Danio rerio: one gene and its partner. The protein of the gene in region 2 interacts with the protein of the main gene of each other region in a pairwise test. Links are inferred from orthologs where the notes say so. Each region holds a gene or a part of one and is shown on either strand. Other genes may lie near its edges.

Region 1 (4,189 bases), on a different chromosome or scaffold from region 2:
ATTTTAAAATGATTCCTTCCTTCCAGTATAATAAAACATTTAAAACATCAAATATTTGAGTTCCCGATACCAAAATAAGCTATTTTGTCACTCACAATGTCTTCACGAGCATATGCCGTTGACATAATCATAAAGTAAACAGCAAATGATGTTTCAGGGAAAATTGTGATTCTCTCACATGTGCAGTATTGAGATATAGCTAGAGAATATATAAAAAAAGTGTATTAAAAGACCACGAAAGTATAAAACAATAATCGTAATTTACTGCAACAATGAAATAACGGCGGAACTAATTCGCATTTCTCATTTCTGTCATTTGATGTACACTACATTCTACATCTATTGTTTGGCTTAAAGATTGAAGTTAAAGATGAAAAGATGGACAAAAAGCAGGGCAGAGAGGAACATTATTTTAAGGTATTTTCTTCAAACAAACTATATATAAAAGCTTTACTTGTCTTTGTAATAAATTCTTCAAGGTAACCATACTAAAAAGTGCACTTAATGAAATGGAGACCACACTGTCTTCAAACACGTCTGCTCTTCTGTATTTCAATATGCTTGACTTCCACATGTAACAGATGAAGCGCATGATGTATTTAGATATGAAATAACCCAGACTAAACAAGTCTAAAGAGGCTTAAACTCCATTAAGAGCTGGGACACATTCATCAAGTTTACTGTAAATCAGCCAACAATTCTGCTCTCAGTCTATCTCGTTTTTACATTTAAAGTCACAGTGTCTGCAGGAGAGTCCCTTAAACAAGTTCCTTTGAGTTTGTGGTCCACATCGGGTCTGGATAATGAAAGTTATTCAAACAGTATCATCCTGTTAGAATAGTTATAAGAAGAATGGAGAAAGAGTGAACAGAAATACACTTCCCAACATGCTCGTAACGTTTACATGTAAAAGTTCCATGAGATGTTTCTGTGTGACCTTTATTGACTTGCTTCTAGTTTTATAAAAGATCTTCACAATGTCTTTCATAAGACAAGATGCATTATTCAAAAGCGCATATGACACTTTAAGACAAACCATCAATTTTAGCAGATTTAACGATGCACTTGATAGTTTTTTCTTCTATTTTTAAACGTATATTATGATTACATATAAGTCATACCATTATTGGTTTCCAGAATGTTTTCTGTTGGTTTGCCAGGAAAGTTTTCTTAAAAAGTGTAAATAAAACATTCCCGGAACAGTTCTCTTCAAGCAGCCTCCCTAAAAAGCCTCCCGTTCTTATTAGGTTTCCAAAAATACTCAAATGGGAACCAAACAGAAACCATATTGGAATGTTCAATGTTTGCTGTGCTAATAAAATCAATTTAAATCTACAGGATAAAAGGTTGGGTGAAGAGGGTCACCAATTTGAGATCACATGACAAGCATAAATCAACGACGGCCAATTAAAAATAATCCATAACGGCGTTTGAAATTGCGTACTTCCATTCTATATAGTTCGCTTAAAACAGTATGCGAGCTGAGTAGTCTGTCCGTATAGCATTCGAAAAACGGTAGGTCAGATGACCTACTACTTCTGGCGAGATTCTGAAGTTCGCATTGGACGGATGCTACGCAATCCCATGATGCACTGTGAGCGAATTCCTGAATGGAAGTGAAGCGACGCAACTGATGTGAAGTAGGTTACATGATGATGACAAAATGGCAGATGTAGTACGTCCGAGTTCCATTCATACTACTGACTTACTGTATACAAAGTACTTTTCTAACGGCTGAGTAGTACGTTTAAATTCAAATGCAGTACTCACTGAGTAGTAGGCGATTTCGGGCGCATGTCTGTGCATGTCTGTATTCGAAATCGCTTCCTATATACCCTCATTCACTATACCCTACATTAGTCAACTAATATAATTTACTTATAGAGTGAAGGAGAAGAAGAAGACATAGGATTGATGCCACCTTGTGGTCAGACAAAAATATTATTTCAGTCTGCAAACTCAAACTGAAAAACGGAGGAGGGAGGTGGTTCGCAAACTGAAGAGCGGGGGTGGGAAGACGATTGCAAACTAAAGATCAGAAGGGTGAGGGGGTTAAGGTAGAAGAGGTGATCCTGAACTAAAGGCCACAGGGTGGGGGGAGGCGCCGAATTTCGTTGCAGGTCGGAGGGATGAGGAGTGCGGGCCGTGAGGGTGTTTAAAGTTTGAGTCCCCTGTTCTATACAGTATGAATGGAACTCGGATGTACTACATCTGCCATTTTGTCATGATCCATGTTCTACCGACATCAGTTGTGTCGCTTCACTGCCATTCATGAATTCTCTCGCGAAGCATTATGGGATACCGTAGCATCCATCTGATGCGCACTTTAGAATCTCGCTGGAAAAAATAGGTAAATTCAGACATACTACTCGGCCCACATACTGTTTTGGCATACTGTATAGTATGAAAGTATGTGATTTTGAATGCAGCCATTTAGTGTATAGTGGTTATTGCGGTGCATTGTGGGATTAAGTGCACTTTTTAACATCCACTATGGTTTTTGAGACCACTACAAATGGCTGCTGCCTCAAAGAGTGCACTATTTAAGGGGATAGGGGGCGATTTTAGATACAACCCGTATTGAACTTATTCTTTACACATGTGTAGGAATCTATTTGTCTCCAAACATCCAGTTTTACTGACTTCCATTGATTTTTAGACGTTAAAAACAGCTCGTTCTGCTGCTTGATATTGCGAAGTGGTATTTTCTTATTGTATTATTCTACTTTTAATGTACAGTCATGAACACACTTGTTTGCAGAGCAAGTAGTTTGACCGTTTCTGTCGTTTATTATCCCTAGTCATTTCTGCCATAGGTAACTAAATCGGAAGTTCTAAAACAGAGGCTGCGTCCGAAATCGCCTACTACTCAGTAGGTACTGCATTTGAATTTAAACGTACTACTCGGCCGTTAGATAGAAGTACGTTCTATACAGTATGAATGTGAAAAGTATGAATGGAATTCGGACGTACTACATCCGCCATTTTGTCATGGCCACGTGACCTACCTGCGTCAGTTGCGTCGCCTCACTTCCATTCATGAATTCTCTCACGGGGCATTATGGGATAGCACAGCGTGCATGAGATGCGCACTTCAAAATCTCGCCAGGAAGTAGTAAGTCATCCGGGTACTTCTCGCCTACCGATTTTCGAATTCTATGAATTCGGACATACTACTCGGCTCACATACTGATTTTAGCGTACTGTATAGTATGGAAGTATGCAATTTCGGACGCAACCAGAGTCCTGGAGGGCCAGTGTCCTTCAAGGTTTAATTCCAGCTCCAATCAGACACACCTGTGTTATCTAATCAAGCTTTACTAGGCTTTCTAGAAACATCCGTGCAGGTGGGCTGAGGCAAGTTGATGCCTGTAATACACCGGACGTCCAGGACCTAGTTTGGGCAAAAACCCTGTTCTAAAACAATCGCACTGAAGAATAAGGTCAATACAGTCGGCTAATTGAATTCTTCAGTGTGATTCAACCATACCACTAGCCGTCAGTGTGATTTATCAAGTGCACCTTTAAATCTGCCACCAACTAACTATTTCCATCTTTGATCCATTTCTAACTGTATTCCAGACCTTTTCCTCCATCACAGTGTTTCTCAGGTCCAGCACATTCACAATTCACACACTCAAATTGGCCACTCTTGTCCTCCTGGTCACGGAGGAGAAATGTCTCTATAAGCACGATCACAGTGAAGCCGCTCTCAGCAGAGGTCAGACACATAGTCGAAGTCCCGGAAACTGTCCTGATCTTTGCGCGAAAGCACTCGAGGCTCGCGGGGAGGAGTGAGAGTCGGCGCTTCTGTCGTGAACTCCTCATCAAAGTTGCTGACGTCTTCTTTTCCTCCGATGGATGGAATAAAAGGAGGAGGGAGTTTGCGGAGGAGAAGAGCCTCCCAGTCCATATTCTGAGGGAAAGAAAAAGAAGACAAGCTTATTACAGGGTTCCCACGTTTTCCCGAACAACAGACTTATATCACTCAATTTTCATCATAGATGCCCTTTAAGATTTCTCTGTTTTTTCCTTCTGTTTTTGACAATTGAGTACAACTCATTGAATATACACATAAACAAATTTTATTTTACATGTAATTTAAGCACTTTCAAGGACCTATGTTAAGTACTTTCCAGGCCTTGAATCCGAGGGAACCCTGATATTAAGTTTTTATTTTTTTAATAAC
Region 2 (3,664 bases):
AAGACCAACTACCCACTCAGATCCTCAGAAAAGAACAGTTTTGTGTTTGATTATATTACGTAGGGTGGAACTATATTACATAGGGTGTGTGTGTGTGTGTGTGTGTGTGTGTGTGTGTGTGTGTGTGTGTGTTATTTTCTAAGCAGTAGGTGTGTCTGTGTTTCCTCCAGTCCTCTGCACAGCTGTATGTTTCTGCTGACGCGACCGTGTGTATATCATGTTCTGAGCAGTGTGTGGTGTGTGTGTGTTAAGGTCTGAGCATTGAGAGAGAGAAAGAGAGAGTTTCCTCCATCAATATCAGTGTGTTATAGTCTGAGCAGTGAGTGTGTGTGCTGTGATCTGAGTGGGAGAGTGTGTGTTATGATCTGAGAAGTGTGTGTGTGTGTGTGTGTGTGTGTGTGTGTGTGTGTTTTGTTTATTAGAAGCTTCACCTCGATCTCCTGCAGCTGCTCGTGATTGGTGGAGTACATCTGCTGAAGGCCCTGCTCCAGCTCATGGTTCCTGTCCAGCAGAGTCTTGCCCAGCTCAGCAGCCAAGTGCAGATCTGTCACACACAAACACAGGAGAGTGCACAGTAAGATGGAGGAAAACAGCAGACGTCATCCAGCCCGATGCACAATCACAGCGGATATTTTAAAACATTTTAAAATCCTACCGATCCCAAACTTTTGACCGGTAGAGTGCATGTACACAGCTCAAAATAAGCATATCGTTTCATTTTAAATAAATAAATATTAAGCTTAAGCCTGTCATGATAAATTATTATTGTTGTGTGAAACAGAGCTCATATGGACAACTTCCAAACCATTACAAGATTGAGGAAAGTAGGGGTGTCAAAATTAATTGTTTCTTTGGTGCACCGCGATGCAGACGCGGACAATAAGGTATCAGTTCAGTAATAATCATAACCGTTTATTATATACTGACGTCATTTATCTCCTATGCGCTCTGTCGCGAGGGAGGTGAGCGCGAGTATTTACAACACTCAGCCAACTCAGGGCCGGCCCGTGGCATAGGCACCATAGGCAAATGCTAAGGGCGCTGTATATCCAGGAGGGCGCCAGAAATGAGCGCGGTTCAGTTGGTTTTGTTTTCAACATTCCTGACACACATTCAGTTATAGCGACAATAACTCAAAAACCTCTCACCCTAAAAAGATCTAAAGTGTGTTTCCTACAAAAAGACAAAGCTGGTTATGTTTCACAGCTGTCTTTCTTTTTTTTCGCTCGACATTACGAGCACTGCTTCGTTTAAGCCCTCGCAAATGTGTTTAGCCGGGAGAGCTCACGCTGAGAGGAGCTCTCAGTAAGGGACATCGCAAAAGTGCTTATTTTTTTCGTTTTTTTACGTTTTTCTGCTCTGCTCAGCGCGAGCTCTCCCTGTTGCGAGGGCTTTAGTGCGTGCGTGTGTGTTTGTTTGTTTGGTGCTGTCTATGTTTGTGAATGTGTTTGAATGAGAGACAGTGTGGTGCTGTGTGTCTGTGTGTTTATACAGACAGCTTGTTATAGCCTCCCCCCTAAAATATAACACTGTATATGGAAAGCATCGTCAATGCACCGTGATGCACCGAGATATTGAATTGAACCAAAGGCATGATAATCATAACCGAACCGTGAGACCAGTATAGGTTCACACCTCTAGAGGAAAGTGTGAAAATTCAGATTTTTCGACATTATATTGACTGAAAATGCTGATGGGATAAGGATAACTCTTCCTTGCTTTAATCTTTTATTAGTCATCATTGCTTGTGTACTTGTCTTTTCCTCTTATTTTAACACATCAGCTCAATGTCTCACAAATGTATCCATTTCAGTGTGCTTGTGGTCTTGTGAGGGTGGGAAAAGGGTGGAGGAGGTTTAGAAAAGAATATTTACACATATACTGGAATGATTCTGTAAATAGTTGATATGAAAATATGACAAGTTTTGATAATCAGCTTTTCTACATCCAGCAATAACTATTAATTGTTTTTAAACCTGAACTCTTTGACTCAAAGCTGAGATTAGATAAGACGACAGAGGCTGCCCAATCGAAAATTGCATCATCGAAAATTATTATGGTCATTTTTTTTGCGCAATAAGCTGATATAATGATTATTATTACCACAGGCCAGCTAATGCAGAATGATGCAACAAAATTCCACACATATCTAGATATTAATTCTTTATAAATGTTGTTATATAATATATCATAAGGCAGAATACTGTCTCTGAGACATATTCTGTGAATAACAAATCATTTAACATTTTAGACCTATAATGAATACACGAGTTCCTTAAAAACAAATACATATTACCACTGCTTTGGAGAGAAAGAAGGAAAAGGCGTCCTGCCAAGTGCAAACAAAGTCCCAGCACAACACTCACCCCTATTATTATCAGAGGAATGAAAGCATTATCTACATTATATTTACAAAATAAAACACTTTTCAGCATTAAATATTTGTATTTATTCTGAAATACATGAGCAAATAAAACACCAAATGGGATACATCATGTACAGTACACAGATTCAAATGTCCTTTGGCAATAGAGTAAGGCCTTATTTTTGTACATTAGTTAATATGTTAAACAAATTAAAGCAGGTCTTTAGCTGATTACCAGACGTTAACCACTGATCTTTAAATTACTGAAATTGATGATATTAAGATTAATAAATGCTGTTTAGTTAGTTAAATTAAAGGGCACATAGTTTATCCCTTTTTATGATTTAATATTAATATTCTGGTTGTTCTGAGTGTGCCAGTTCAGGTTCAGTTCAACACAGTTCAGATGTTTTCATTATAATGTGTTTAAAAGTATCATGTTGGGGGTGTGTACACCGCTCGCTGTTTTAGGGGTGTGTTGCTTCACATGAAAATTAGTTTCGGCTCCCAGCCAATGTAACAAGGGGGCGGAGTCAAGAGCTCCCACGCTCTGTGTTTGCAACAGACAGGCTGACAGACAGAGAGAGAAGCTAAGCTAAGCTAGGATAAGCATTTAGCCGTACATGTACGACTCGGACACAGATCATTTGTGTCTTGGTATAGTTTGTATAGTCTCGGTGTACAAGTGCCGAGCTTGTACACCAAGACTAATAACCACACACACTGAATTAACTTTGACTGAGGCACCGAATGCGCAGCGACACGGCACAAAACATGAAGTGTCCCTAATCGTCGTGCCAGGCATTCCAGAACTCCAAACACAAACCTCCACCAGGGCAAACACAACGGCGGCGCGACCATCGAGCCGCCAAACCGAAGCCCCGCCGCGTGCACCTTGACAGAAACCCGCGTCCAGAACCCCGAAAAGCACAGCGCTACGCAAAAGGTACAAGCAATAATTCCAATTAGAGCGATGATGTGGAGAATATTGAACTTGTGTTGAGCCCAATGAGCCTTTCATCTAAAAATAGAGCACGGGTGTTACTTTAGTGATATCGCTTTGACTCACACGCTGAAAATGGCAGACTTGAAACAAGAAACTGAGGATATGATTGTGACGCGAGGCTGTCAATCAATATTGATGGGCGGGGGGACCGCTCTCCTACGTAAAGTTGCGGTCGGTCTAAAAAACCGCTCCAATTGGTCCACCATTTTTATGTTGTTAAATTGAAAAACAAGGACTGGGTGTGTTTATATCACCCCTATATGACTGTTTATACACTAAACCTACACACGTCT

The links.
Region 1: the proteins of cdr2a (region 2) and pkn1a interact in binary tests that used the Homo sapiens proteins (3 or more experiments, as listed by UniProt). The link is inferred for Danio rerio from reciprocal best matches to the Homo sapiens genes CDR2 and PKN1.

What each region holds. Positions count from the first base shown.
Region 1 is NC_133176.1:49,115,090-49,119,278, reverse strand, and holds the end of pkn1a (serine/threonine-protein kinase N1), read right to left. Parts: intron 3,917-4,189; coding exon 3,713-3,916; 3' UTR 527-3,712; downstream 1-526. UniProt on the Homo sapiens protein: PKC-related serine/threonine-protein kinase involved in various processes such as regulation of the intermediate filaments of the actin cytoskeleton, cell migration, tumor cell invasion and transcription regulation.
Region 2 is NC_133178.1:62,651,066-62,654,729, forward strand, and holds part of cdr2a (cerebellar degeneration-related protein 2), read right to left. Parts: intron 545-3,664; coding exon 432-544; intron 1-431.